Rhinolophus ferrumequinum: one gene and its partners. The protein of the gene in region 1 purifies or fractionates together with the protein of each later gene. This does not show direct contact. Links are inferred from orthologs where the notes say so. Each region holds a gene or a part of one and is shown in the gene's direction. Other genes may lie near its edges. The genes, in order: GNA13, ARHGEF11 and ARHGEF1.

Evidence for each region.
Region 2: the proteins of GNA13 (region 1) and ARHGEF11 purify together in Homo sapiens (affinity purification with western blotting; 3 studies listed by BioGRID). This does not show direct contact. The link is inferred for Rhinolophus ferrumequinum from reciprocal best matches to the Homo sapiens genes GNA13 and ARHGEF11.
Region 3: the proteins of GNA13 (region 1) and ARHGEF1 purify together in Homo sapiens (affinity purification with western blotting; 5 studies listed by BioGRID and IntAct, with this or other methods). This does not show direct contact. The link is inferred for Rhinolophus ferrumequinum from reciprocal best matches to the Homo sapiens genes GNA13 and ARHGEF1.

What each region holds. Positions count from the first base shown.
Region 1 is NC_046304.1:45,087,514-45,097,942, forward strand, and holds the start of GNA13 (guanine nucleotide-binding protein subunit alpha-13), read left to right. Parts: upstream 1-5,646; 5' UTR 5,647-5,879; coding exon 5,880-6,162; intron 6,163-8,618; coding exon 8,619-8,845; intron 8,846-10,429. UniProt on the Homo sapiens protein: Guanine nucleotide-binding proteins (G proteins) are involved as modulators or transducers in various transmembrane signaling systems.
Region 2 is NC_046305.1:1,325,920-1,336,016, reverse strand, and holds the start of ARHGEF11 (rho guanine nucleotide exchange factor 11), read left to right. Parts: upstream 1-5,833; 5' UTR 5,834-7,057; coding exon 7,058-7,089; intron 7,090-10,097. UniProt on the Homo sapiens protein: May play a role in the regulation of RhoA GTPase by guanine nucleotide-binding alpha-12 (GNA12) and alpha-13 (GNA13). Acts as guanine nucleotide exchange factor (GEF) for RhoA GTPase and may act as GTPase-activating protein (GAP) for GNA12 and GNA13.
Region 3 is NC_046298.1:39,863,765-39,874,526, forward strand, and holds the start of ARHGEF1 (rho guanine nucleotide exchange factor 1), read left to right. Parts: upstream 1-6,536; 5' UTR 6,537-6,719; intron 6,720-7,819; exon of another isoform or gene 7,820-7,922; intron 7,923-10,762. Other genes in the region: CD79A (B-cell antigen receptor complex-associated protein alpha chain), read left to right, coding at 1,894-1,981, 3,607-3,906, 4,131-4,249, 4,837-4,905, 5,040-5,153. UniProt on the Homo sapiens protein: Seems to play a role in the regulation of RhoA GTPase by guanine nucleotide-binding alpha-12 (GNA12) and alpha-13 (GNA13) subunits. Acts as a GTPase-activating protein (GAP) for GNA12 and GNA13, and as guanine nucleotide exchange factor (GEF) for RhoA GTPase.

The sequences.
Region 1 (10,429 bases):
CTGACCTAACCCTCCCACAGACAGGAGAAAGCTAATAACTAAAGCAAGAGAGGGAACCTCAGCGACAGTGCAGCATTTCCTAGACATCAAATTCTGTGATTCTTTTTTTTTTAAAGGTTATTTATTTATTTATTTTTTATTATTTTTTATTTTATTTTATTTTTTTATTGGGGAAGGGGAACAGGACTTTATTGGGGAACAGTGTGTACTTCCAGGACTTTTTTCCAAGTCAAGTTGTTGTCCTTTCAATCTTAGTTGTGGAGGGTGCCATTCAGCTTCAAGTTGTTGTCCTTTCAGTCTTAGTTGCGGAGGGAGCAGCTCAGCTCCAGGTCCAGTTGCCGTTGCTAGTTGCAGGGCCATCCTGCACCATCTCTTGCGGGACTCGAGGAATTGAACTGGCAACCTTGTGGTTGAGAGCCCACTGGCCCATGTGGGAATCGAACCGGCAGCCTTCGGAGTTAGGAGCATGGAGCTCTAACCGCCTGAGCCACCGGGCCGGCCCAAATTCTGTGATTCTGACTCAGCAGTTGCTGCCTTTCCCTGAGTGCTACCACGACCTGGTCCTTCTTTTTTTAGCAGCTAACACAGGAGTTTAGAGCTATACATTGATGACATTATTTGCTTCGGAAGCCAGCCTGCCCTACAGTCTGACAAAGACCACGTGGGCCACGTCTCAGGGCCCCTGGGTGAGCCTTTACTGCTTAACGGTCAACTCGACCATCTGACATACCCTGGCATTTATAGTGAGACAAACGATAGGACTACAGGCTGTGACATGTGACGCCACCTGGCTAGCTAGCTAGCCAGGACTGTGGTTCCTGGAAATGGCAGGTCCAAGCTTGCCAACCCAGTGTTCCGAGGGAAAGAAAACTTCTGTTGCCGGGTTGGGAGCAGAGGTATTTTAAGACACAGGAATAAATTGAGACTCTTGCAGGCTTAAACTTCCCTGGAGAAACAGAATTTATGTTAAAGAACTGTGACTGTTTCTGGCAAGGGGCAGCCGATTTACGGGTAGTAAAACATAAAAAGTATCCCTCATCTTTAATAGCTGTAAGGGAACATAAAGGAGAGGGACTGAGCAGGATGTTTTGAATTTCTCAGAAAGAATGTCAGATTTACAGGCAAAGCCTTGTGCTTAATGTTATATAAATAGATTGCCCATAAACGGGGCCGATGCAGTAAGCAAGGTGTAAGCGTTCCTATGCGTGCTGGTGTGTGTCTTTCGGACAGCACAGGCTTCTAGTTGGAATAAACCGAAGTGAGGTCACAGCTGGTCATCAGCAGCTCATGGACCGTTCTTGGAGGCTGAGAGAAGTATGTAACCGGTAATTAAAGTCATGTTTTCCATTAATAACAACAGCAAAAAAATCCACCAACAATGCAATTCCACATGCCTAGTTTCACACAAAACTTTCCACATGAGAGGCTTATTTTGGTAAGGCACCATCAATTTTCATTACAAAAAAGTTGCCTTGTCATATTTAACTCACCTTCAGGGGATGTCTGGGGCTTATGCACCGTGTAAATATTGCCATAAGCTTGACTCCTCTTTTATTATTTCTACATGCCATCTGGAACATTTTAGAAACCAGAGGCTGAGCTCAAAGTATGGAACATCTTACCAGAATCAGCCTAAGAGCTGGTAAGCTTCGAGATGGCAGTCACTCCGAAAGGGGCTGGAAAAACAGACCAACCAACCAACCAACCGAATCATACTGGACTCTATGGTACCTCAGTTAGCTATTTGTTTCTTAAGTTTGAACTTCATACACCTGGGCATTTGGGACACTACGACAATTTTGGCTTATCAGAAAGAGCACTGGATTCAGAGTCAAAAGAGGGAGCATCTAGTCTTGGCTCTGCAACCAGCCAGGCTGAGTGAGGCTTTGAACTAGTCACTTAAACTTCTGTGCCCATCAGCTTTCTTGTGTGCAGAGATGGGAGTGAGGTTAATGCTGGTTGATCTTAATCAGGCTATCATGAGCACAGAATGAGACAAAGTAGGTCTAAGTGCTGGCTTTGAGGCGTTTAAAACATTACACAAATGTAAGGGATTTGTATTATGAAAGGGCTAGGGAATTCCCTTCCTCTTCTGCTAGGGAAAGGAAGCTAAGAAACGTCCATGCTTGTTTTAGCTGTAAGGAAGGATTAGAATCCACCTATCCTATATTGATGATGAGACCACAGAGTTGTGTAACAAGAATCTGGAGGTGTCATCATCCTTAGAAAATTAACACAAGGTTTAACCATCAGGCAATGTGACTGATTTTTAAATAAACATATCTAAATGGGTGTTGTCCTATCCTGAGTAGTGAGTAGTCACTTTGGCAGGCAAAAAATGTTTTAATTCCTCTTTTGGAATTATTCCTAGAGACTCTGGTATATCCTTTGAATATGTCTGAGGGTGACAAAAATTGTGTCCTTTGTGAATAATATTGACTTTGTAAACAGGCCAAAGTTATTTGGCATAAAGGTTGATAAATGAGCTAAGTAATACCATTAAAAAAAAAAAAACTGAAAAAAAGCTGTGACTAGGAGATAGGAAGCCTATCTTTCTTTCAGTTCCAACAGAAGAGTTACGAAGAGAAAATTTCAAGAATTAGCAGTATTGTTTGAAAGGGCGTGTTCCATCTTAAGGTGACCACATGAAAGGAGAAAAGCCATTTGGAAATGTTTTTCTACATTTTTAGTCATACCTTCATTATTTATCCTGCAGGCCTGTTTGGCACTAGACTTTGAGCTTCCAGAAAGAAAAGAGCATTGCAACTAATCAACACTTCAATCATTTTATCACAGCTCCCAGGGTCATCTGAATCCCTCATTTGCATATGGATTAATTGGCGAGCAATACAGATGTTTCCAATGAATTAATGTCGGGATCTATTGGAAATATAGCACCCAGCAGATTCAATTCTAACAAAGAGACTCTATATTCCCTTAAAAGGTTTGGATTTTTCTCAGGTATGAAAAATTTATCTGAACATTAAAATATCACTAATATCATTACAATATAACCTGAAGCATTCAGGTTACGTTGTAATATTAATGATATTTTAATTGATAATTCTGACCCTATCAATCGATAGATACTGCTAGAGTAGATTAGCTTCTGGTGCAAATGATTTAAGTTGTTAGTGTTATTCTAAAACAAATACAATCACACTTTCATTTATTGAATACTGAACACTGCAGGTACTTCAGTGTTAAATGATACTGATGACTTTTATGGGAAATATTATTTTCCCTACCTCATTTTTTTATTGTGATAAAATTCACATAACTCATCATTTGATAAAATTCACACAATTCATCATATGATCATTTTAAAGTGGACAATTCAGGAGAATTTAGTACATTCACGACGTTCTGCAACCATTACCTCATTCTTCCCTCCCCCTAGCCCCTGACAACTAATCTGCTGTTTCTATGGATTTGTCTATTTTGGACACTTCATATAAATGGAACCTTAAAATATGTGGCCTTTTGTGTCTGGTTTTTTTCACTTGGCATGTTTTCAGGGTTCATTCATGCTTTAGCATATATCAGTATTTCATTTCTTTTTTTTGGTGAATAATTCCATTGTATAGGTATACTACAGTGTGTTTATCCATTCATCCATTGATGGATATAAGGGTTATTCTCACCTTTTGGCTATTCTGAATAGTTCTGCCATGAACATAGGTGTACAATATTTTCTTTGAACACCTGTTTTCACTTCTTTTGGGTATATACCTAGGAGTGGAATTTCTGGGTCCTACGGCAATTCTATGTTTAACCTTCTGAGGAACCACTACACCTCTAACTCATTTTTATGCTTACAATTTTAAGGTGGCTTAATTACGTACGAGACGGAAGCAGTGGGACCGCTGCAGCCAAACTCCAGTCTAGGTCCAAAGAGGTCTCTTTTTCAGAAAAACTGATTAGAGCAGCTAGGCTCGATCTGAGCCAAGCTTGTTCCAGCACAAGTACAGGCTTTGAACAGCTTTCTCTGCTGCTCTACATGTCACAACATGAACTGGCCGGGCAGGAATACCTTCCTGCCTCCGAGGCATCCTTGGTTCTCTATTATGTTGCACATGCTTTTGGAAAAAGAAAAAGGTTAACGATCTAACTAACTTACAGGCTTCCTGCCTCCCATTTTTGCAGAAACATTCAGATGAGAATCTGGAGTCCCTGTAGAAATGATGCTTGGGCGCCAATGTTTGGCCCCAGTCCTGGGCTGTGGGTAGTCTTTTCATGGTTGAAGAACAGGGCCTCCTGAACATCAACTGAGACAATAGAGAGATCTTCTATTCAGGGTAGGCTTTTACCAAGCATTTTGCCTGAAGGCATCACCCAGTGATTCCGACCTTATTAATCCACAGATACTGAGTTGAATCTACCCCACTGTGTATACCGTAGATTGTCTACCCTATAGGCATTTGCCAGGACCAGTGGAGATATTCCTGCTACAGGCATTGTTCACTGCAGCCAATTTACTGAGTCATGAGGCTCTTCAGCCATGAACCCAACCCTGACAGTACACTTGATTAGCACTGAGTTTTATTTCTTTAATTTAAACCTGTTTCATGAGTTTCTCAGAGTGCTGACCTCTTACCTCAACTGCCCCGATAGGTTCTAGTTTCTGAGCTACAGGAGCCCAAATCAAAAGTATTATGGTTGCACTGCCAAAAAGAGAGACAGACCAAAATGGTTTTTACCACTTGAAACTAAATACTAAAAATGAAAAAGGAGGCTTCCGGGGTCCTTGCTATGGCAGTCTCTCTCCTAGCTGTCACTTGTTACCTGTCTCCTGGCAGCCCTTTCAGGTGTCCTGGCCTAAATCTGCTGTTAGAACAGAAAAAAGTCCCTTGGCTGGTCATATCCTCTGTAATCTGGCAGGAAACCTAAAATTTGCCTGCTCTTGTCCTCGGTCTGTTTGCTTATCTGCTTCCTTGTAGGGAAGAGTCTGCATCACAGTGTCCGGTTTAGGGGGATTTTCACCATGATCTCACCCTGCTGCAGCTACCATCCACTGATTTCATCGCGGCAGCTCGGGTGGGAATCCACAGTGAGATATTAACAACCCCTCCTAGCACATCTCAGATTAACTTCAACTCGTTCTTTTGCCTCGGTGTGTGTGTGGTCTTTGCAGAGGTATAAGAATGCCAAAAATAGTTGGGTGGGTGTATTGATGACGTTTGGTTATCGTTCGGCGCTTGGGAGACCAGGCTGTGAACGAAACCACCTTATTTTTGAAAATATACCCCAAACCTTCCCGGCTCGCGCCCGCTGTCTAAATAACTTTCCAGCCAAAAGCTTGGAAATAAGGTGCGCGAACGGTGACAGCAGGCGGAGGGCACGAAACCTGTGAGAAAGAGGGGCGGGAACAGTTAGGGAGCCCAAAGGACAGTGTCTGAGATCGTGTCTCGGGCCTCCAGGACGCAGGAAAGTAGCCCTTCTGCCGGGAATGGGCGCAGCTAATTAAAGGAAAACAGAAAGTCGGACGCCGCACGCTCACGCCCGGCCCTACCGGAGGTCACGTGACCCCAGCGGCCGCGCGTACGCGAGCTAGAGCGTAACTCGCCCGTAAAAGGCGGGAGGCGGGGGAGCGGCTGCTGCGTGCGCGCGCGCCCCCGGGAGGCAGCGGGCGCGCGCACGCGCCGGGGCCACCGCCCCTCTCGGGCCCGCCCTCCTTCCCTCCCTCCTGGCTCGCCCGGCCCGCCCTGCCCGGCCCGCCCTGCGAGTCAGTTCGCTCGTTCCCTCCCTCCCCCGGCGCGCTCGGGCCGCCACAACGCTCCCCGCCCTCGAGCCCGTGGTGCCGGAGTCGCCCGCCGCCCGAGGAGGAGGTGGAGGGAGCCGGAGGGGCCCGCCGAAGCGGCGGCGGCGGCGGCGGCAAGATGGCGGACTTCCTGCCGTCGCGGTCCGTGCTGTCCGTGTGCTTCCCCGGCTGCGTGCTGACGAGCGGCGAGGCCGAGCAGCAGCGCAAGTCCAAGGAGATCGACAAATGCCTGTCCCGGGAAAAGACCTACGTGAAGCGGCTCGTGAAGATCCTGCTGCTGGGCGCGGGCGAGAGCGGCAAGTCCACCTTCCTGAAGCAGATGCGGATCATCCACGGGCAGGATTTCGACCAGCGCGCGCGCGAGGAGTTCCGCCCCACCATCTACAGCAACGTGATCAAAGGTGCCGGGCGAGGGTCGGAGCCGGGGGACCGAGGGTCGGGGCTGCGGCCGGGGCCGGCGGTGACCCGCGCGGGGCCGGGCACCGCCCTCCTTCGCTCAGTCCCCGGCGAAGGACCGGGCCCAGCGGGCGGGCAGGATGGGGGCGCGCCCCGGGCACTGGCCCTTCCTGCCCCTGGGGCCTTCGTCCCCCAGGGGAGGGGATACCCGGGGCGCCCCGCTTTCCACTTTGACTCCCGGGTAGGGGGCACGTCTGGTCCCCCAGCCCCCACCGCGCCACTGGCCTCGCCCCCTGCGAGAGGGAAGTGAGGCGAACCTAGTGCACCAGAGTGCAGGGTGTCCTCGCCTGTCTTCCCTCCAGACGGGGCAGGAAGACCTGAGAGCCAGCTTCAGACCCTACACCCCCACTCACCGCCCCCCGCGCTGCCTGCCCAACCTCGCCGCCCGGGGTGGGTGACCCGAGTCGCATGGAGTCGGTCTGTTCCCAAATCCCTGCTTCCTTGGCCGCCTCCTGAGCAAAGGAGTTGCACGATCACAATAAGGAAACTTTTGCCGGAGATTCTTGTCAAGGGCGAATGGTGACAGCCCTTAGGCCCTTTTGAGCAAGGATATGAAACTTGAGGGTGTCATGTTTACTGTGCTGGCAATGAGGGAAGAGGAGACCCGTGCAGTTTAGTCTGCAAAACTTAACATCAGTGGTTTTTCGCCCCTCGGTCACGGTCAGGCAGGATGTTTGCCTGTAATCACTATGCAACACGTTCCACTCTCATTTTTGCTTAATGCCTGGGGGTGGGAGGGAGGGTGTGTACCCCCACTTGCTTCTGTTATTTAAATGAAATTGTGCATTCAGGTAAAGAATCTTTGGCCTAATAGGGATGTGGAGCCTGTACAGGTAGTCAGTGAATCAGTGTCAGCTTGGATCTAAACTCGGCTTTTATTGGACAATATTTTTAAAATTAAACTTTGTTCTTAAGTGAAAAATACATAAGAATTTTATTTCTGGGCTTTCAAAGAATTAGACAAGATGGTTTTTATTTTGTCTTTTGGTGGTGATTAGCACTCACTTGTCATAGTATCAGATATCTTCTACTTTATAAAAGACATTTTGGCAAATTGAGATACACAGCCTGGTACTTCAGGTGTATCCAGATTCTTTCATCTTTGTAGCAGTTATCTAGGAGTTTGTAACAGATTTCAGGTCTTTTCAGGCAGTGCTTTTTTCGGTCATTTTTGTTTGTTTGTTCAGGAAGTACTCAAGCAACTCATTGGGCTCACTTTTGTCCTCCCAGGACTGAGTAGAGGAGAACTGTTTGGGGGGCAAGGATTGTGGGGTAATGACGGGAGAAGAGCACTAGGCTGTAAGCTCCAGACCACAGGGAGCTCCGAGCCCTAGTGCCACTGCAGTTAAGCTGTACAGAACGGTTGTATTTATCCTATCTTAATGTTTAGCACAAAACTAATTAAGGTCTCTTTCAAGGCCGCAGACTCCGCCTTGCCAGTCCTTAATTGAAGGTACCTTTGTATCCTGATGTAGCTGAACTTAAGGAATTATGTCAGTGAATTGAGTCAACATGTTAACTGATTATGAGCCAGGTAAACACCTGGTTCTTAACTGTGCCCTGGGTCCTAAGTGTGACCCACTTTGAGCATTGATTATGAGATGAAGTAAATCACTAGATACATAACTTTTTTTGAGTTGGCATGATCAGAAAATTAACAGCAAAACAAGTGTTTCAGTTATCCAAACAAATGACTTCTTGATAATCATGTGACTGTTAAGATGGACCAAAGGTAACAGTTTAGTGATAGAAATACTGGGTTTGAACCAATCTCTGAGTTGAGATTTCTGTTTTTATGTACATGTTTTTTGCATTTGGTCTTCTTCTCTTTTAGGGAAATCTAAGGCCGTCTTGTGACTTAACACTGATTTGAAACTTAGTATGGAACAAGTTTTTTGAGTTTTGAATGTGTTTCTAGAAGACTCAGTGTTGCGTTAAGCAGGGTGCTCCAGGACCAAACAGAACATAGAGCGATAATGTTTGGTTCTTGGCATTTTATAAATAAATGTCTTTTTGAGGGGCTTAAAAAATCTTGGTTGTAGCCGTTTGCTTCATAGCCTGAACATTAGGCTATGCAGCCTAATTTCTTTTTTCTTCACTAGGTCTGGTTTTCTCATGACTACCTTCTACTCCAAAGTTATTTTATAAATTAGAACATGTTAAAATTTTCAGAAAGAGCACTTGTTTGATAGTATATGCTTTCCAAGGCTCTAATTTTTGTAACTGTGAATAACAGTTTTTTTAAGCTCAGAGAAGTTATGCGTGTCTTTTGATGTTCTCCATTTTTGGAGGAGGTGGGCCTGGAGTACTTAAGACAGTTAAGAAAATATTACTGGAATAGAATCTATGAGAATATCTAATGACTCCTATCACACTTTTTTTTTTCCCCCCCTTAACAAAGGTATGAGGGTGTTGGTAGATGCTCGAGAGAAGCTTCATATTCCTTGGGGAGATAACTCAAACCAAGTCCATGGAGACAAGATGATGTCATTTGACACCCGGTCCTCCCTGGCGGCCCAGGGAATGGTGGAAACTGGAGTTTTTTTACAATATCTTCCTGCTATAAGAGCATTGTGGGCAGACAGCGGCATACAGAACGCCTATGACCGGCGTCGAGAATTTCAACTGGTAAGAGATTTGCTCTTTTACAATGTTATGATTTTATTTTAATGACATTTATTAATGTCTGAGTCTAACACCCCCTTTTCACTGACTTCCACAATGTATCTGTGTAGAATTTTAGCCTCAGAAATTGGGACTGCTCTGTGGATGACCTTTTTACTAAGCAAGGTAAAAATATGGTAAACCTCATAGATTCGATAAAGCTATTATATTTAATTGGTCATTTTTCTTTTTGAAAGTAAGATCAGAATGATTTTCATAGGCACTTCTAATTTTGTTCTCCTTTTGAAAATAATTTCCTCCCAATTATAGCAATAATATTCATCCCTTTAAAAAAAAGAAACCGACCTTTTACTCTTGGACTAAGAGTTCAATAACTGAACTAGATTCAAATGTGCTGTTTAGTCTTCAGAGGTACTCATTTTATGGTACAGATTAATATAGAAGAGATTAAAGTCCTTAATGTTTAACAATCATTGTGCTTTTTCTGTATTTGCTTTCTGCTTTTGCATGAGTTTTTATTGAAGCCTCCTAGGCACATTTAACAAAATGCTCCTTCTTAAACAGAAAAATCCTAGTTATTTCTTGGACCTTTGTTTCACATGGGAAGCACCTAGAATTTATTTTATATTTATCTTTTCTACTTTGTCTTAAGACTACCCATAAATGTTGTAGCTGTTACAGAGCATTGAAGAGAGGGTGGAAGAGAAAGGATCCGATCCAAGTGAAAGATACAAAAATAATAACTGAAATAGGTTTTTTTAAATCAAGTGTTTTGTAATTTAATTGTGAATGCTTTGATTGTATTCTGGGTTTTATTTGCCAAAGACCGGAAAGATCCCAGGAATGATAGCAATCTAGACTGTATGCAGTTTGGAGGTAGTTCAGATCTGAAGTGTTTTACTGTAATATGATCAAAATAAAGTGACAGTTATAAGTAAAACTGCTTAGAAAGTTGTTTGATGATGTCATCAGCATTAAAGCAATCCACATTTAGGGGTGTGGCTGCAAAATGATGTACACCCAGCCGCCGTCTTTCCTATTACCATTTGTACTCAGAAGCAGTTTTGGCTCTTAAAAGTTCAAGAAAAGTGTTCATGATAGCTTTTTATAAAACTGATAGCTGAATCTTAACTTTCTCTGAATAATGGCTCTCCTATATATCATACAATCAAGCACTTGATTATGTGCTGTCTTATATAGTTCCCTTTTTTGGTGTATGTATCTCATCAAGTAAAATTGTCCTTAATGAATGGTAGACACTGTCTCACATTGTTAAAATTGAGTAGCTGGCAGCATTGTATGTTGAAAATTATTACATTAATTTGACAGGTGACCTCTATCCACTTCTCAGACTTGTGGTTAATTTTTGTCCTGTGGTCAGTATTTGTTAAATTGTTTTTGGCAATGTTGCCTGAGTTCTCCATATACCCCTTCTTGTCTCCCTTCACCCTCTCTCCTGTTTTTAAGTGCTGCGTTTTCTCCTTTCTTCTTTTAACAAACCATTCATTTTCTCAACAACTTTCTCAAGATGTTATTCATCTGCCCAGGTCAGGGAAGAAACATCCATTGTAATAGCATACAGTTCAT
Region 2 (10,097 bases), on another chromosome or scaffold:
ATAAAAATCTGGATTTACACAAAGGAATGCAGAGTGCCAGAAAGAGTTACGATATGGGTAAGCATGAAGACTATATTTAATTTAATTTAATTTAATGAAAACTAACCTACCAACCCAAGAAGCTCAATGAACCCCAACCACAAGAAACTGGAAGGAAACTACAAGCACATCATACTCCAACGGTTTAAGGCAAATGATAAAGAGAAGACATTAAAAAACAGCCAGAGGGGGCAGAAAGCCACATTGCACACAGAGGAATGGAGATAGGGATGACAGCAGATTTCTCATCATAAAAAAATGCAAGACAGAACATCTTTAAACTACTGAAAGAGAAAAAAATGTCAACCTAGAACCCCTTACCCCATAAAAATGTCCTTCAAAAATGAAATAAAAATGTTTTCAGACATAAAAAGTGTTGAAAGAATTCATCGCTAACAGATCTTCACAACAAAAAATGTTAAATGTTTCAAGCAGAAAGAATGGTACCAGATGAAAATTTCAATTTATACAAAGGAATGAAGATCACCAGATATAGTCAACTAGTTTATTTAAATCTCTTTAAAAGGCAATCAATTGTTTACAGCAAAAATAACAGTGTACTGTAAGATTTACACCACGTGTAGAAGTAAAATGTGTATATGTTAACAACAGCACAGAAGCTGGGCGATTAGTACGTGTGAGGTGGTACATCATCACTTGAAGGTAGCCAGTGATAAAATAAACATGCAACAAAAGTTACAGCCCATAAGCCAGTAAGAGAGATCAAAGTAAGTCATAAAAGTCCACCTGTACCTCATAAGGAACTAGAAAAAGAAGACCAAACTGAACCCAATGCAGCAGAAGGGAAGGAATAACAAAGATCAGAGTGGGCTAAATCAAAGAGGGAATGAAAGACTGAAGTCAGTGAAACCATCTTAGTCGCTGTGGGTTGCTATCAAAACTACTATAGACTGGGTGGCTTAAACAATAAAAATTTCTCTGTGTGTTTTGGAGGCTGGGAGTCCAAGATCGGGGTGCCAGCCTGGCCAGGTTCCGGTGAGAGCCCCCTTTCACGTTGTCCACGGCCACCTTCTGGTATCCTCACATGGTGGAAGGAGAGAGCTGGCTACTCTGGCCTCTCCTTATTAGGGCACTAATCCCATTTATGAGGGCTCCACTCTTATGACCTGGTTACATCTCACACCCCACCTCCAAAACCCATCACATTGGGATTACACTTCAACATATGAATTATGTGTAAAAAAAAAAAATTTATACATCGATAGTCAGACTGGTTAGGGAAAAAATGACAAATGCCAGTAACGAGAGAGTAGACATCACTCTAGGCTTTATACATATTAAAAATAAGGGAATATTATAAATAACTTTATGCCCATATACTCAACAACTTAGATACAATGGACAAATTATTTACAAGACTGGATCCGTCAAAACTCACTCAAGAAAAAAAATAATCCAGGTAGCCTTATACCTATGAAAAAGATTTTTTAATTTGTAGTTAAAACTTTCCCACAAAGAAAATTCCTCCAAATGGCTTCATTGGGGGGGAGGAGGAAGGTATTCGATAAAATACTTAAAGAAGAAATAATGCCAATTCCACACAAACTTTTCCAGAAAATTGAAGAGAAGGGAATTCTTCCCAACTCATTCTATGAAGTCAGCATTACTCAAAACCAGACAAGGACATTACAAGAAAAGAAAGTGACAGACTAATGAACATAGATGTAACAATTCTTAACAAAATTTTAGCAAATCAAATCAATATATTAAAAGATTAATGGGCCGGCCCGGTGGCTCAGGCGGTTGGAGCTCCATGCTCCTAACTCCGAAGGCTGCCGGTTCGATTCCCACATGGGCCAGTGGGCTCTCAACCACAAGGTTGCCAGTTCAATTCCTCGAGTTGCGCAAGGGATGGTGGGCTCCGCCCCCTGCAACTAAGATTGAACAAGGCACCTTGAGCTGAGCTGCCGCTGAGCTCCCGGATGGCTCAGTTGGTTGGAGTGCGTCCTCTCAACCACAAGGTTGCCGGTTCAACGCCCGCAAGGGATGGCGGGCTGCGCCCCCTGCAACTAGAAAACGGCAACTGGACCTGGAGCTGAGCTGCGCCCTCCACAACTAAGATTGAAAGGACAACAACTTGACTTGGAAAAACAGGCCTGGAAGTACACACTGTTCCCCCAATAAAGTCCTGTTCCCCTTCCCCAATAAAACCTTTAAAAAAACAAAACAAAAAAAGATTAATATATCACAGCCAGGTGGTGTTTATCCCAGAAATTCAAGACTGGTTAATTGAAAATCCACAGTATCAACAGACTAAAGAAGAAAAACCATGTGATCATCTCAATCAATCCAGAAAAAGAATTTGGAAAAATACAAACATCTAACAATAAAAAACAACCACCCACAATATGATAGAAGACCATCTATGAGAAAACTATGAATAATATAATATTTAATGGTGGAAAAACAAATGCTTTCCTCCTAAGATCGGAAACAAGACAGGGATGTTTGCTCTTACCTGTTCTATAAACATTACCCTGCAGGTTCTAGCTAGCACACTAAGACAAGAAAAAGAAATACATATGGGAAAGGAAGGAGTAAAATTGTCTTTATTCTCAGACATGATCATCTATATAAAAAGTCTGATGAAATCTACAAAATAAGTGGGTTTAGCAAAATTGCAGGATACAGGATCAACATACGAAAATAACCGTATTTCTGTCTTAGCAGTAAGCAATTAGAAATTGAAATTTTAAAAATACCCTTCAGCAATGAGTTGATATACTCTATACCTGACAACATAGATGAATCTGAGTAAAAGTCATACAAAAAAGAATACACAATCTATTATTTCATTTATATAAAATTCTAAAAAATGCAAACTATAGTAACAAGAAGCAGATCAGCTATCACCCAAGGACTACAACGGGGGGAGGGAATCCAGTGGGAGGAAAGAATTAGAACGGAGCAAAAGTAAGTTTTGAGGTAATAAATATATTCATTATCTTGATTGTGGTGATTGTTTCATGTGTGTATAAGGTCAAAATTTATCAAGTTGTATATTTTAAGTATGTGTAATTTATTGTATGTCAATTTTCTTATTTTAAAGGACATTTTTCACTTTTCTTTCAATTTTTAAAGCAGGCTTTGGGCAAGTTTTTTTTTGTCTGTTTTTTTGTTTTTAATCTTCCCTTTGGCATCTCACCTTTTTTGTATCTCACATTTGATCCTGGGAACTTTTACTTATTCAAGGGGGAAAAAAATAACACACACATCCAACTTCCCAAAATATTAGCCTTCAATCTAAAACTGGTTTTCTTTCACACATTTTCCTTTACAATTTATCTTGGCACCTTCCCTGTTATTCAGTTTGTCTCAGCTACAGGGGTGTTGATGGGAGAAAGTTGGTTTCTAGGGTAACCAAAGACAGGAAGGTATCAGCTTGGGAGGCTGGAGTGCATACCTGGGAGGTGATGGAGATGAAGCAAACCACCCCTCAGTGGGAGTGAAGGTGAGAAGCCCCTCTTCCACTAAATGCCTTGAGATCCTCAAGAGTGATGAGGGGGCAAATTTCTGGGGGTGATATTTCCAGGGATACTGAGAAAGAAGACGAAGAACCGAGAGCACTAGGTAAGACTTGCAGGTCACTGCAAGGTGGGAGAAAGAACTCTCTGGAGGGCTGAGGAGTAAACCACCGACTTCTACTTCCAGCCCCACCCTCCCGTTTCTCCTCAGTAAGCCCTGCCTGTCTGCTATCTTCCCCCTAATGCTTGGCATAGGGCCTGTAACACAGACGCAGTACGGTTGACAGTTAAGTAGACTCTGGACCCAGACTGCGTGGGTTCCCAGCTCTGTGACCCTAAGCAACTTATTTTACCTCTCTGGGCCTGTTTCCCATCTGAAAATGGGGATGATGATTACTTACTCAAAAGGTTGTGGAGACGATCTAAGTCAATACTTGCATTTTGTTTACTATTAGTTTGGTGCAAAAGTAATTGCAGTTTAAAAGGTTAAAAATAATTGCAAACACCGCAATTACTTTTGCACCAATCTAATAGTTGAACTTCAATTAAAAGCCTTAACACGGTGATGAATGGGATTGGAAAGTACCATAATTTAATAAATGCAATCAAGGACACACTTCTTCCTTTAGATCTACCTCTGACAAGTATCTTTTCGTTATGACAGCCATTAACTTCCACTAAACAGTATGATTTTTCACACGTACTTCATCTTTCTTTCCATCTTTTAATATTTCTACTCTTGGGCATGTTTTATAAGGTATGTAATAAAATACATGTAAATAACTGTTTAAAAAAACATTACATAGGTTAAGAAAGCATGACAAAAAAGGCGACTAGTAGTGGGCCTATGGCCACAGGAAGTGTCACATTTGGGAGCACGATTGTGCAGGTGGTATGGGAAGGGAATTAACAAGGTCGGGGGCAGTTGGGACTTCCTGTGTCTTTGGGAGTCCCGGCCACGGTGCGGTGGAGATGCAAGGAAGGCAGCGGGGCTTTCTTCTCAGGGCTAACCAGCACCTGGGATAGTTTAGGGGACGTTCCTGATCATTCTAAGTCCCGTCCGCCCCCACCCCCGCCCCGCCCCACGTGATGCTCCTTAGTCCCCTTGCCTCCTGCTGTCTGCAAACCCACTTCCAACACTGCAGGGGCCACTCGGCTCCCTCCTGCTGGCGTGTGCGTGTGGGTAAATACACACGATCTCACACTTCACCCATCCAAGGACAACAAGGTGGTGTGGACCGAGGACCGGCAGCCGCGCCACTGCCCGCAGGGCATTTTCCAGAAGCACCTCCCAGTCCTAGCGGCAGTTTCCTTTCTATATTATTTTTAACCAGAACGCTGGGGACCTTCTGACTAATGTCATGTTACTTGGAAAGATTTGGACACCGCGAGCCTACGAGAGGGGGTTATGAAAGCAGAACTGTCCTTGAAAGGCCTTTGCCATGGAGTCCCAACACTCACAGCCCGGGGGTTAAGATGCCGGAACCAACAGCGACGGGTGTCTCCGCGGTGTCGGTGGGTTAGAACTGGGGGGCCCAGAGATGGGGGGCGGGCGGTCAACAGGGTTCCTGACACCCGGGAAGGAGGCCGCGACAGATTTCTGAAAAATCGATGAGCAAAGAGGTGGAGGCAGCGTGAGCAGCGGCGTGGGTCGGCGCGGTGGCGCTGGTGCACGCACGGGGGACACCTGGCCCCGGGGGAGGGGGTGGCACCCGTCCGGTGGGGGGTGCACACAGGTCAGGTCTCGAGCGAGCGCAGGGCGGTTAAAGGGGAACAGCGGGCGGGGGCGGGGGCGGGGCCGGCGGGCCGCGCCGGGAAAAGCCGTGGATCCCGCTCAGCACCGGGCCGGCTAGGCCGCGCCGACGCGGGGTTGCGAGGCCGGGAGGGCGGTCCGCCCGCCGCCGGCCTGAGGGAGACGCCGCCCGCCGCTCCGTCCCCGCGGCCTGAGGAGAGGCCGCCCCGCCGCCCGGCCTGAGGGAAGGGCCGCCCCGCCGCTCCGTCCCCGCGGCCTGAGGGAGAAGCCGTCCCCACCGCCCGGCCGCCCCGCCTGAGAGAAAGGCCGTCCCCGCCGCCCCGTCGTCCCCGCCGCTGCGGCGCGAGGAGGAGGAGCCTGCGGCCCCGCCCCCGCGAGCGAGGGACGGAGACGGCTCGCGGGACGGCGGAGGGCGCGGAGGGGCGGCCGGCCGGGCCTGCGCCCGAGCGAGCGGCGAGCGAGGGGTGAGGGGCCCGGAAGGAGCCGCACGCCCGCCTTCCCGGCCTGCGCCCGAGCCCGGAGCCCCGCGGCCGCCCAGGCCGGAGCGCGGCGGTCGCGCCGAGGCGAGCGGGGCTGGAGCCGAGGTCGGCGGCGCCCCGCGCGGGTAGGCAGGGCGGACTGCGGCGGGGAGCCCGGCGGTCGGACTTGCCCGGAGGCGGGTGTGGAGGAGAATCCCAGCCGAACCGAACCCGCAGGACTCAGCCGGCTTGTGGATAAGGAGCGGCCGCCAGGCCGGGCGACCGGGCGACGGTGCGGCACGCGAGCCGGGAACCCGTTTCATGGGGGCGGAGGCGAGGCCGGCCCCGGAGCCTGGATGAGGACGAGCGGAGCAGAACCCACTCAGGAAACGGCCTCCCGAAGCAGGCCGAACCCGGGCTGGGCCTGAGCCCCGGGCGGGAAGGCGCAGAAACCGGCGCGCTTCCAGGAAAGGGAAGGGGACGAGGTTTCCAGAGGGTCTCTGCTTTGTGGTGATTGCTACCATTTTAAAGGTAGAAAGCTTTCATTTCAGGTGTTCTCTGATTTTTTTTTTGATTTTTTTTTTTTTTGGGTGCGATCGGCTCATTTCAGAATCTCAAAACCTTTCATGTAAAAGCTTTTTTGTTTTTTAAAGGAAATTCATAATTTTGGTTCCCAGGGTCGCACTGGACTTGGAAGGAATGCTGTTGTGTACATACTATTGTATGGTTTAATTTATTTTTTTTTACCGTGCAAATCAGCTGGAAGATTTTTTTTTTCAGGTGCCAATTCGGATTTATTCATCCTTTTTTTGTTGTTGTTCCCTCATATATATCTGTTGTCGTTTTAAGCATTGGAGACCAGAGAATTTCCCCCTTTGGAGCTTAAGGCTCTCTTGCCAACAGAAGGACAGCTGGGAAAACTGGATTAAAAGGATGGTTTTTATCTGTATTTTGCAGTAAGACTGATATTTTGAAGGCATATTCTTTCTGTGATTCATTTTTTTCAGCCCATAGCGCTAACCTTGAAGAGATTTGTGGTTGGGTTTTGGTTTCTAAGGTCATCGTTTTTCCTCTTTTTCTTTCGTTTTTCTTTTTCTTTTTAAGAGGGGGGAGGGGAAAGGGGGTCTAAGAAAGGAGACCATGTTAACTGGTAGAAGTAGAATGGAGCTTCAGTTACCAGGATCCTGAGAGCTGGAGGACAGAGGATTCAGTCTTCGAGTTGGGAAGCCCTCCTCTCACCTTTCTTAAAAATTGCGAGGATTCAATCCTGATCAAGACGTCAAAACTACAGGACTCTGGAACCGTGGAGACACCGAGAAACCATGAGTGTAAGGTTACCGCAGAGTATAGACAGGTAGGTTTGCTAATAATGGGTTTTTCAATACTTACTTAAGGACGCACTGGGAGGGAGAGTGTTTGTTGCATTTTGATCAAAGGTTGCAAAAGGAGGGTCTGGGTGGGCAGTGGGAGTTGGGGAGGTAGGAGCAGGCACTGGTCTGCGGGGACTGTCCGGCATGTGTGTTTATCTTCCCTGTGTGTGTCCATGTTCAAAACGTCTTCTGAGTCAGTGGTTTTTTTCTTCAATTGAAGCAATAGACAGTGAAGCGAGGAGGGGGGAAGTGCCTGCAGCCGGCTTTGACTTTTGCCAGGCTGGAGGCTAAATTTGAGTCCCTAACTTGCCAGCCTAGCGGGTGGGAGGTGGGCACAAGTCTGAGTCTGCAAGGGTGGGTTGGGATTGGCTGTAGGTGTTGGAGCTGCTGGGGGAAGGGCCCTGGCAGGGGCGTGGGCCTCCACCGGGCTGGTTGTTGTGGAATGGTGGGGTTTGGTGGTGGAGTGGATCCAGTGTCTGAAATGAGGACGATGGTCGTGGCCTGAATGATGGCACAGAAACACCCTTTGCACCCCTACAGGGCTGGATTTTTACCGGTGGCTAATAATAGCCCCAAAATGCACAGGTCACTTTAGAATTGTTTCCTCTCCAAGGTTAAATTTTAACTTGAGACCTGCCAACCGGCTAATGCTGTAGGTTTAATCTTCCAAGGCGTTTCTAATAAGCTTGACTCTGCAAAATGGACTTTCCCTCTGCCTTGAGCCGGAAGGAGTTGTTTGGGGCTCTTCGGCCTGATGGGCAGATGCACTGGCCCTTAGAGCCCCCCACCCCCCCAGAGTCTCTCCAGCCTTGTCACTGGTAACACAATGGTTCACAGCTTTGGTAAGGTATCTGCTTTTCCCTCCCTCCCCTCCTTGTCCGCCCACTTTCTCCGTAAGAATCGGGAGGGGGTCATTGGTGGGTACTGCACGCACATTCTGACTGGACAGGACTGAACAAGCAAATGAAAGGACTGGACCTGGAAATATAGTATTGGCGAGATAAGAAAGACTGTTTGCAAAGAAATAGTTGCTTTCTTTGTGTCCACCTAACCTTTGCTAATCCATGCTAAGAATAATTTCTTTTTGGCTCTGGAATGTGGCCTAAGGTGCATATAATTTCTCTCTCCCAAACAGTGACCTCTGTATGGCCTCCGAGCCCTACTTAGATGGGTCCAGCAGTCCCCACACAGGAACCTGACTTAGCAGTGGAGAGGGGAAGGCAAACAGCCACAGAGAACAGAAAGTGCGCGTGGCTGGTTCAAACCTCCATCCTTCCACTTCTTGTTGGCTTCTCTGTAGTTGGACTCTTGTAAAGGGAGAGCTGAGGCATGGCACGGCCCGGGCTGAAGACGGCTACATGGCTGCCCTCCCTGTCTTCCTCTTGGAGTTGGGGAATTAGTGCACTTGCCTTTTGGAGATTTGGATGGTGGACTATTTCTCTGAATTCAGGGATGTGAGAAGATAGAAACCTGGGTGTTTGGGGGTGCAAACGGGGCAGTGAGGGTTCCTTCGCTGATGGGACATGTTCCTCTGGGAGTTTGGATAGCCCCACTGTTCTCAGGATTTGTATAGCATGGTACGTTTCTCTAAGTGCTTTCATAGGAACATATCACATTCGAGCCTCGCAGTATTTCCATGAGGCAGACAAAGCAGAGGCTATTCTTCCCATTTTACAGAACGGGTATTGAGGCTCAGAGAGGACACCTGGCTTGTCTGGTGTCAGACTTGCAGGTCTTCTGAATCTGAACCCGTGGCGCTTTGTGGCCCACCTGTCTAAACAGGTGTGTATGCTGGTCCCGTGGCGGGTGGAGGCACTGCTCCATTCTCGTTCTGGTAGTAGGTAAGATGATCTTCAGCAGTCCCTGGCGCTTTTTCACAGTCTTGGGGTGTGCACCTGCAGTTCTCCTGTGGGATAATGCAGCTTTGCAGCGTGAGAGCGTTCCTCGCCTTTCTCCGTACCCCGTCCCTTCGCCATTAGAGGATCAGTTCTAGGCAAGGCACGGCCCGCTTCAAGGTTCTGTACCCCGATCTTCCCCGTCAGCTGTGGGCTCCTTCTGGTGGACCTTCTGACATCTCAGGTTCAAGCTCCTATGGATTTGAAGTAATTCACAGTCTAGGCCACACTGGAGGGGCTGAGAGGAAGGAAACGCCCAGCTTGTGGAGTCAGGATTCTCCTTTCATTTATCCATTTGCTGTGGAGAAAGGCTGGTGTAAGGTGCTGTGAGAGTTTTAGAAAGTTAAAGTATGTAGTTCTTGCTCACAGCAAGTGTCAGTCTAATTGGGGAACTAGGGCAGGTCCAGGGGTCCTGTGGCCCACGTGCCAGCAGCACTGCCTGTCAACTGCAGGCTGGCAGGACGGTCTGCTCAGCCCTGCTCAGCTCTGTCCGGGCCCAGCGCCTTGGCCTTCTGTACACAGTGGACAAAAGAGGCTTGGAATGAATGAGCATGTGAGCAAGTAGAAATCCTCCCGTTTGGGAATTTTCAATGTTCGTGTGCTAATTTCAAGTGTAGCTAAAGGAAGGTCAATTGAGAGGCTCTAGGTGAAGTGGACTTTCCAGAAGGTTGGCAGCATGTTGGAACGAAACAGTGTCTGGAGAGAGTGGCTCAGAGTGAAGAAGGCTTTGGAATATTTATCTTACCCGCAGTGATTCCCGGGTCCAAAGAAACACAAGGTATTTGCGACTCATCTTTATCTTTCAGTGTTAATCAGTTATGAAAAATGGGCTAAGAATCGCTGTTTGTGTTCCTTTCAGGTTTTGTCCGTGGACAGACCCCTAGTTGCCCATTAATGTCTGTTCTCCTCAAAGTTTCTAAAAATACGATGTTCGATATTGCCAGCAGAGGTAATGATACTGAATTATTTTTATGGAATGGTAATGAGTTTTGCTAAGTCTTCTATAGCCATTTGCCTAATTCTCTATGGCAAATGTTTTGAGATGGCCAGGTGGGTTAGAATTTGCACCTATAAAACAGCTTTTCTCTATGCAGATA
Region 3 (10,762 bases), on another chromosome or scaffold:
CGCGAGCTCTCAACAAGGTTGCAGGTTCGATTCCCTGTGCCCCCTGCAACTAAAGATTGAAAATGGCGACTGGACTTGGAGCTGAGCTGCGCTCTCCACAACTAGATTGAAGGACAACTCCCTGGAGAAACACACTGTCCCCCAATATTCCCCAATAAAATTTATTTAAAAAATAAGAATAAAATAGTGAAATACTTCAAGCACGCAGAACAGTATACTAATAATAGTGTAACAAAGACTCATGAGGCCACCACCCAGCTTAAGAAGTAAAACAAAACGTAAAATGGAGACAGATAAAGCCAGATAAAGCCGTCTGGTACCTTTCCCAGTCACAGCTTTCCCCAGAGGTAACCTCTCTCAAGAAGTGGGTGTCACTCCCCTGCACAGTTCTACACCTTCACTACAGACGCACGTGTCCCTCACAGCAAATGTGTTGTTTTGCCTTTTGAAAACAAGTCAACTGTATCATGCTACAATATCTTTTTTCTCATTTTTGTGTTTTTTCCTCAGATGTAGCCTTGCGGACACGTGAAGCTCCACCTTTTCTCCTGCTGTGTACTGTTCCATTTGCTGACTGTACCATAATATGTATATGCATCCATTCTCCTATAAATAGGCTTTCATTTCCCCGTTTTTGCTACCAAAAATCTCCCTGCAATGCATTTTTTTTCCTGTGTGTCTTCGTGTGTGTGTGTGTCTGACTGTCTATGATGCTCCCAACTGCTCACAAACATTTCAACAATCTTATACTGTTCCCCATCCAAGCCCTCAGGACCTCGTTTTCCTCCCACTTGACCTAAAATAATGCTAAAAGGAACCTGGGCACACATAGTGACTTTGAATCCCTACTCCACCACCAGACGGTATAAAATTGGGCAAATGACAGTGACAGTGTCCCCTCTCTGGCCCTCAGTTTCCTCCTCTGTAAAATGAGGATGGGGGTTACCTGCCCACTTGTGGGGAAGCTGAAAGATATATCAAGAAGGAGCCCATCATGGCTGTAACTCCTTGGGTGCCAGGAACGTCATCTCATGTCACAAACGCCAGGGATATATTCTTATCCTCATCTCTTGGATTAAATGCTACGACTTGAAAAGGGAAGCCACCACTTAGTCATAGAGCCAGTCGCCTGCTTCATTTATTTCTCATGAGCATTAATACTGTGTCCCCAAAAATAAGACCTAGCCAGACAATCAGCTCTAATGTGTCTTTTGGAGCAAAAATTAATATAAGACCCGGTCTTATTCTACTATAAGACCTGGTCTTATATAATAAATATAATATAATATAATATAATATCAGGTCTTTTATTAATTTTTGCTCCAAAAGACGCGTTAGAGCTGATTGTCTGGCTAGGTCTTATTTTCAGGGAAGCACAGTAGTAACCAACATTTACTGAGCACCTACTATGTGCCAGGTGCTGTGTTCAGGGCTGTGCATCACAACCCCTTTAAATCCTCGTTTCCAGGCCCACAGAGTGAGGACAAGTTTTGCTCAAGGCCAGTAAGGGACAAAGACCGAGCTCAGAGTCACTACCCTGTGTGCCTACACGCAGCAGACACCCTGGATTCTGGCTCTTTCAGATGTCTGCTCTAGGGCTTGCCAGTGATGAGGCAGGCCTTGAACTGGCCTCTTCCCCTCACCCAAGCAACCTCCCCTCAGGGGAATTGTGGTCGCCACAGGTGCAGGGAGCAGTTCCTCTCCACTTACATCCTGAAGCACACTGGCAGGGGCTGTCCCCTGGCCTGACACTGAAGGGCCCAGCAGTGGGACCAGTGGAGCCAATCTCCGGCAGGGCTGGGCAGGAAGTGGGGTGGAGTTTGGGGCCCACTGAGGGGGGATCTGGTACCCCAGGACTGCTGCAGCCCAGACGAACCAACCCACGGGGAGAAGATGCCTAGGGGTCCCGGAGCCCTCCAAGCTTCACTTGCCACCGTCCTCCTCCTCTTGATCTCAGCCGCTGGCCTGGGTACTGGCCTGGGTATGTGGCTAACAGGCTGTTGCTGGGTGGAGGGGGGCAGTGACTGAGGAGGATGGAGAGAGGGCACAGGCAGAGGGAAGGGAGGCCAGGAGGGGAGTGGAGAGGAGCCAGCCGGAGGGGAGTTGGGAAATGCCCCTGTAGAAACTGCGTCTGTCTGGTTGACTGTTCCAAGCAGATCTACGGGAAGCTGGAAGGGGCTTGGTGACATTGAAGGGGCATCCACTGCCTCATGGATGGAGACAGGGGCTACAGGTGCCTTCCTCACCCCCTCCTCCCCACAGATCAAAATAAGGAACTAAGGTTGCACTTGACTAAGCTCCAGAGGTGGGGGCAGGATGAAATTTGGGGGAGTGCTCAGCTTCAGAGGGAAAAAAAAGCTTTCTCTTTCTCTGCCTTGAATCCCAGTCACCCCCCTACATAGGGACACCCTTCTCAGTGCGGGAAAGGGAAGGGTGGGGACACGCAGCCTCATGGCAACCCCCTGGCTATCTTCCCCCAGCGGTACCAGCTGCTGGCAGGGCTGTGACTACATATTTGACCGAGGAGTTCAGAAAGGCAGCTGATCACCCAAGGTTACACTGGGAGCCCAGATGGGAGCCTATGACCCTGAGCTTGCTGCCTCCTTCCCCACCCCTTCCTCCTTCTCTCTTCCTCACCTCCCCTTTCCCTCTCCAGAAGAGGCAGAACAGCCTTGTGGATTGGCCGGGGACACTGAAAACTGGGGCTTTTCCGAGCAGTCAGGCTGGGCCCTCTTGCCTCCCTCTCATCACCCATCCTGCTAAGGCCCTTCCCTAAACCCTCAGCCCAGTTCAAGGACTGAACTCACTGGACCCCCAGGCTGACACAAGCTACAGAGAATGAGGGGCAGCCTCAGAGACACAGACAAGGCAGACCTGAAGACTGGCAGGAGGAAGCCCGGGGGCCTGAGGTTTGAACCCCCAGCCACTCCTGCTATCCTGAGCCTCTGTTGCCCCACCTGAAAAATGGGATAATGAGAGAAACTATTTCTAAGAGTTTTGTGAAGATTACACAAGATAAAGTGCCAGGTGCAGGGCTGGACTGGGGCTGAGAGAGTAGACCAGGAAGGCCTTCAGGAGGAGGTGATGTCCAAACTGATTCTGCAAGAAGCTGCCTGGGCAGGGGCACTCTGGCACCAGGGAACCTAGTGTCCAAATGCCAGTGAGCTCAGTGGGACCAAAGCACAAAGTGGGTGTGGGGGAGGGTGGCAAGAGGTGGCTAGAGAGGGGAGTGGGGATCCCCAGGTGTGTCACACCCCAGGTATCTTACTCTCCTCCCCTAGGATGCCCTCCTCCCCCAAGGGACAAAGACCGAGCTCAGAGTCACTACCCTGTCTGCCTACACGCAGCAGGCACCCTGGATTCTGGCTCTTTCAGATGTCTGCTGTCTTGTGTCTTGTGTCTCCCCCGAAAGGCGTCTCTCTGTCCTCCCCTAGGTACCCCCTCATTCCCCCTCCCAATATCCTGTGTCCTCTGTCCCCCTCCCTCCTCCCCAGGAGTGTCCTCATACTCCCTCCACACACACACCCAGGGTTGCTGCAGTTGCAGGGGCCAGGACTGGGACCTATGTCCCCATCCAGAGTCCCTGACCCACCCACCTCCCCACAGGCCAGAAGACTCACACCCTGTCGGTGGAGTGGAGCCCACCCTCAATGACGGTGAGCATAGGAGCCAACGTTAGCTTCTCGTGCCGGTACAATAGCAGCATCCTTGGTGAAACAAATGTCACATGGTGGCGCAACTCCGAAAACAACAAGTGGTCAGCTCGGTTCTTTGGCGAAGGCCAGGGCCCCAGCAATGAACTGAAAATCTCATTGGTGAACAAGAGCCATGTGGGCATGTACAGGTGCCGAGTGAGAGTTGGCAAAGAGGTCCGGCACTCCTGTGGCACCTACCTCCGAGTGCTCGGTGAGTGGCAGTCCTGACTCCAGGGTCCCACCACTTTGCAGCTCGGGACTGCAGGCTTCCCATCTGTGAAGTGAGGACAGAGCCCGTGCCTGCCTGCTGGGTGTCCTCACTCCCTGCTCACACACACGGACCCATTTCTCACCTGCAGAATGGGGGCTTCAGTAGGGCCTTGCTGGGGGCGGGGCCGGGGTGCCAGGGCTCTGAGCAGCACTCCCTCCTCACAGAGTCAATCCCCAAACCCTTCCTGGAATTGGGGGAGGGCACCAAGAACAACATCATCACAGCCGAGGGGATCATCCTGCTGTTCTGTGCGGTGGTGCCCGGGACGCTGCTGCTGTTCAGGGTGAGCCCCCTGGGACGGGACCCTGGCATCTGAGGGCACCCACCTAAAACTTGGGAGGACTACGCACCCACCTCACAGGGGACTTGGGGGGTAAACGAATTAATACAATAATAGGGTTTTAAATGGTACTGTGGGCAGCTCCTTGTTCAGTCTCCCCTCAGGGCTGTCCTCCCTGCCCTTCTCTAGGGATGTTCTCACACTGCCCCCCGAAGCTGTCTCACTCTCACCCCCAAGGGTGCTATACTTTCCCCCTACCCAGGAGTGATGTGGCCTCCAGATGTAGCCAAGGTCAGGGAAGATGGAGCCCAGGGGTCCTCCCAGAGTCTCTGATACGCACAAGCCTCTCTCTAGGCCACAGGACAACTACAGCCATTTACTAGTTTTGTTGTTATTCGTGGAGAACAATGAGGCAGGGGAGAGAACCAAAAGGACACTGATTTGGACCCAGAGAGACCTGTCACTTACCCAATATGTGGCTTTGACAGTGTCCCTTACCAGCTCTGGTAAAGCACCTCCTGGCATCCAGGGGGTCCTACAAACATATTCTTCCCCCACGCCCCCTCACTGAGGCTCCAAATCCCCCACAGAAACGTTGGCAGAATGTGAAGTTCGGGGTGGACGCCCGGGATGACTATGAAGATGAAAATCTTTATGAGGTGAGTGGAGGGCAGGGACAGGTTAGGGGCAGGTGCATTGGGGGGGGGTCTCATGATGAGTCCTCATGGGGTTGGCTGGGGGCAGGGACCTAAGCATCAGGGCACTGAGGCCCACCAACACGTTTGCACCCCAGGGCCTGAACCTCGATGATTGCTCTATGTATGAGGACATCTCCCGGGGCCTCCAGGGCACATACCAGGACGTGGGCAGCCTCCACATCGGAGATGTACAGCTGGAGAAGCCATGATGGTGACCAGCAGGGCTGCCCCTGCCTGCCGTACTCCCAGCTCTGGCGTCTCTCCCCCTCCTTTGAACCAGTTCTTTTCACAATCTTTCTCAGGAGTGTCCTGCATCAACTTCCCTATTAGAAGTGTTCACTGCTTTTGCTCCCTCTAGATTGTCCCCATTCCTCCGCACAAACCTTCAGTGCTCCCTCTGCTGTCTTTCACAAACCTTCAGTGCTCCCTCTGCTGTCTTTCCCAGGCTCCCACCCACCCAGCCAGCAGGTAATGAGCCCTTAATCGCTGCCTCTAGGGGAGCTGATTATAGCAGCCTTGTTAGTGTCACCTCCCCCTCCCAGCTCTGTCATGGCCACTTAGAGATAATAAATCCTTCCCAACAGCAGACCTTGGCAGGAGTCATGGATCTCATGGGGACCGCCCACCCTCCTCCCCTGGGACCCAGGAGTCCAGGCCGCCAGCCCATCCTCCCTCAGACCCAGGATTCAGGGCCTCTGGCCACTGTCCACTCCCCACACCTTTGCTGCCCCCTGAGAGAAACAGGAAGTGTCTTGGGGAGGGCTGCACCCAAGGCCATGTCTGCCCTGAGCAGGAAGGGACAAAGGGGGGAATTGAGGTGACCATAATTATTTATCCCTATCTAAGTCCCAGAATCATAGGGGACGACCTGGTGGGGCTGGAACCAAATTCTACTACGGTCACACCTGTCCTCTGGGAGTGGATTTGTGGCAGGGGACTGGCCAGTCTGTGGCCCTAACTTGGGAAAGGTGGGGAGACTCAGGGTCAATAACAGACAGGCACAGAGATGTAGAGTTTCTGAGATAGAGAGGGAAGAAAGACTGAGACAGAGAGATAATGACAGAGATACTGAGAGAGAGAGAGACAGAAGGAAGAGAGAGAAAGGAAAGAAGGGTTCACAAGAAACACAGACACGGAGAGGGTGACCCTTGAGACTCCAAGGAAAGCAACAGGTGGGGAAATGACTGAGATGGCGATGCAGAGACGCAGAGATGGAAAGAGAAGGGCTCCGAGGGAGAAAGCGACAGAGACGGGGAGGGACAACGGGGAACCCGTGGAAAAGACCCCAGCGGAGAAAAGGGGAGAGAGAATCAAAGAAGAGGGCCATGGACAGAAATAGAGAGAGGAAGACCGAGAGACACACAGAGACGGAAAGCGGGCAAGTTGCTACGCAGACCCAGGAGGGCGCAGGGCGAGACTCGCCCCCAGCCCCGCCGGGAGGTGATGGCGGACAGACACCACGCCCTGCAGACAGACGGACATACCCTGCCGGGAGGGTCGGGCGGGGTCGGGGCGGGGCCGATGCCCTCGGATCCCCGGCGGAGCGGGGAAAGGCGGGGCCGGACGGGCTGCGAGAAGGGGAAGGAAGCGGAGGTGCCGGGCGGGCGCGGGGCGCAGGCAGGAAGCGGGGAGGGGCGGCGGGGCGGGGGCCTCCGGAAAAACGCCCCAACTTCCTGCCCCGCCAGAGCCAGGAAGCGGGAGCCGGGACACAGGGCCCGGGATCGCCGAGCCCGACCTCGGGCGCCCCGCCGGTCACCTCCCTGCGCGGACACCAGGTACACCGTCCGTGGCCCCGCCCGGCCTCCTCCCCTTGGCTGCTCGGGGAAGTGGGAGGAGGAGAGAGGGGGCTGGGGCGTTGCTGGCAGTGGAGGGGCCTCCTGGGGCACCCCTGAGTCAGAGACCGCCCCTCCCTGGGCCTCAGTTTTCCCATCTGTCAAAGGGGGCAAAGAGAACAGAACTAATACCCGCCGAGTGTCCAGCAGGTGGGGTGAGGCATGCGAGGCCGGGTCAAGGCTTCCAACTATCCAGAGAACAGATGATCACTCCCACTGTACGGGTGGGGAAACTGAGGCCCAGATAGCAGATCCAACTCGTCCCAGGGCACACGTCGTGAGACCGAGTGGAGTTGGGATTTGAACTCGCAGGTGCTTTCCGCTAAGCATCATCCTCCAACCCCGCATGCTTTAGGACCACCTAAAAAGAAAAACGACAGTTAACGTCATAGGCCGCTGTGAAGCTGAAAGTTGCGGAGCGCATTTGAAAGCGTTTCTGGGAAGCTTTTTCTGGGTCATTAATTATATCGAGAGCTGGATTGTAGGGCGTAGAGCTGGCGACTTTCCTCCATTGTATAGATGGGAAGACTGAGCGTTGGAAAGAAGTAATTGCTTACTCCAGGTTACATAGCATGTCAGAGGGAAAAGTACGCTTGAACTCAGGATTTTTGCTTTCCAGCCCCAGAGGAAAGTGTGCGGTGGTGGGGTGGGGTGGATGCGCAGAGAACTAATGAACGAGCGTTGGAAAATCAACTTTGGTCCCCCAGTTAAGAGAGGCAAAATAGGGCGGGGAACCCAGTCCAAGAACTAAGTAAGGGCCGTGGTAACTCGGAGATCTCAGGCTCAGTTTTGGCGTGGGGGGTGGAACCATCCTCACCTCAGGCCGCGGAGGTAGGGGCGGGGCAGGGGCGGGGTCCAGGGGAGCAACGGGAGCAGTCGAGATATGTAAACGCCAGACCTCCAAGGCAGGCCAGAGCGGCCCTATCTGGCCAGCGTGGCGCAGTGGAGCGCTAGAGCGACTGGCAAGAGGAGTAGAGTCGTCTGGCAGGAGGCAGGCTAGAGCGGCTGGCGGGAGGAGTGGAGCTGGAATCAAAGGCGGCCTCTGAGGCGGCTAGAGCGACTCGGAGGCGGGGGTGGGGGAGCTCCGAGCCGGTGCGCCGAGGCTTCGGTTCTGGCAGCTGCGGTGGCTTCTTCGACCCGGAGCAGGTGAGGGAAGCGGCCCCTGGCGGGTGTCAAACCCTGACTCCACACGTCTGCCCCAGCATCCCTGGCTGTACTCATTGCCACGTCCCCTATAGGATTTGGGGCCCGTGTAGACCCGCCACGTCCCATGTAGGTTTGGGGGTCGTGTAGACCCGCCACATTCCATGTAGAGTACAAGATCCTACAGACACCCCAGGTTTCTGCTGGCCCCCTGTGGAGACCCTGCTCCTTACAGACATGGAGTCCCCAACGAGCGGTAGTATCCCCTAGAATCCAGAGCCCTGTAGATCCTGGGTTTGGAGACCACCACACTCCCCTATGAAATTCTCGTCCCCTTTTAAGTCTCCAGAGGTCCCATAGACTGGCCACTTTCCCTATGGTTTCATGATCACGTGTGACCCCTGATCCTTGTAGGCCCACCATGTGTCAAATAGAACCTGAGGCTGTATACATTCCAAGGACCCCTTATGGACTCACCCTAACTATTCTGTATTTTAGGTTCTTTAAGGCTCCCAGAGGTTCTTAGGGACTAGGATCAGCAACTCAATATCTTATAGACCCTGAGCCCTGCATAGAACCCAAGTGCCCTTACTGCCTTCCACACGTGTCTGCTTTGCTGTAGGATCCCTACCTCTGAACTGACCCCTATCAGCCCCATGCACACAGTACCCCTCTGCTGGACTTCAGGCCTTGTCAGGTGCCTGTAAAGCCATCTGACAGCTTCAGCCTATCATTTCCCAGCCTTTGTGGCAGCTCCTCTCCCCCGCCATCTCCTGAGCAGCATGACCCTCCCCCCATCCTCCCTGAGTCCCAGACTCTGTGGAGCAGCCGAGCCCATCCTGTACTCCTACCCAGGCCACAGCACCCGCATACCCCTGACTTTCCAGGCCCATAAGGAGACCTGATGTGTCTTGGTTCTGATTTTAGTTTCCTAAGGTTGGAGTGGGGGGTTCCCCATGCTCTGAGGCAGCACATTCTGGTAGTTAAATGCATAAACTCTGAAGCCAGACCGCCTGGGTCTGAATCCCGGTTCTGTTCCTTATGAACTGTGCCTCAGTTTCCTCCTCTGTAAAACGGGCATAATAATAATACTGACCTCATGTGGTCACTGAGAGGATTAAATTAGTTAATACCTATAAAGCAGTAATGCTGTGCTTGGCACATGCTTAATGACACTTAATGCACATTAAGTGTTAGCTATTATTTTGTATTATTGTGACAGACAAAGAATAAAGGAGATAATATGTATCACGTGCATGATTTGGGGCCTGCCTGGCACTGAGCATTTGCTCAGATAACATGTATCCTCTCCTGTGCCCTTCTGGAATCTCCTTGCTTCTGTCGAACCTCTCCACCCCTAAGTGAGGTGATGATCATGGACCCTCTGTGTTCATGGTCATGTTTTCCAGCCCAGAAGTTGCAGCTGGCGGCCTGGTGAAGGTTTTCCATCTCTGATGGGAATAACAATAGCACAGGGTGGTTGTGGTTGTGAGGGTTAAGTGAGTTACTATGTGAGAAGCTCTCAGAGCAATGCCTGGCGCCCTGTAAGTGTTATGTAAGTTTAGCATTCATAATAAATAATTGCTATTATTTTTCTGCCTTGGTTTGCAAATTTATTTATGTGAATACTTAACAATGCTCAAATCTTAAATTACCCAAGTTTGGATATTTGACAAATACCCTTTATGCAACAGAATAAAAATGGTGCCTGCTCTGATGAACCCATGGGATAGCATTTGGACACTCCAGAAAGCATCATTGTTTAATGATCATAATCAAAATCATAGCTACTATTTATTGAGTGCTAGGGAGGAGGCCTGTGGAAGAGGGAGAAGGGTGGGTCTCAGGCAACTAGGGTTATAAATAGCTCTGGGCTGTGGGGAGAGCCCCCCACTGGTCCATTCCACCCATTTCCACAGCTCTTCCCGCCTGACACAGCTCGGGCTCGCGTGGCATTAGTCATACCAATTAAGAACACGGATGATTTTGGTGGGAAGACACAGGGAGAAGTGGAAACGCTAAGGGAGACGATGGGAGAGAGGCAGCACGTGAGCCAACAGCTCAGATCGGTGCGAGGACAGTGGCTGCAGATGGGGCAAGACAGAGGCAGGGACAGAAGCGAGGCAGAGGGCAAAGGCAGGGAGAAGCAGAAGTAGGGACAGGGTGGAGTTGGCTGACGGGGAGAGGAGGGAGGAGGGGAGGCAGAGACAGTGGGAAAAATGAGACAGGTCTGAAGGAAGGGAGAGAAAACGAGGAAACAGAAGACGGGCAAAGACAGGCAGAATCAGGGAGAGACAGCCAGAGTGCTGGCTGGGGGAAGCGGAGCTGGCACGGCAGATGGATGTAGGTGAGGGATACAGACACACCTTGGGGGATGAGCTGAGGACCGTTCCTTGTTTCCTGGGAGTGGAAGCCAGAAAGATACCAGGTCCCTGAGGAAAAGAACTTGTGGATCCGGGGACTCTTGGTCCCTGAGGGAAGAGAGTTCAGAGTGTTGTTTTCTTATCTGGAGAGAGTTGGGGGTTGAGGGGTTTGCCACTGTGATTTCCTGTCACAGGAAGTGGGGCTGGTGGGTTCAGAGGCAACATCCTGCCCCAAGCCTGTCACAGATCAGAGGAGCCCGAAGACACCCCACTTATCTCCCTCCTACCTCCCCTTTAACCTCGCCAACTCTGCTGGCCCCCAGCCACTCCTGCCTCAGAGCCCAGAGTCGGAGCCCCCAGCCCCTCCTGCATTAGGGACCCAAAACTTGCAGGCTGTCATGGCCACAGCTCTCCCCTGGACCCAGGCTCCTGGGCCTCCAGCTTCCCGCCCAACAAGGCTCCCTGTCCTTGGGCTCCCCG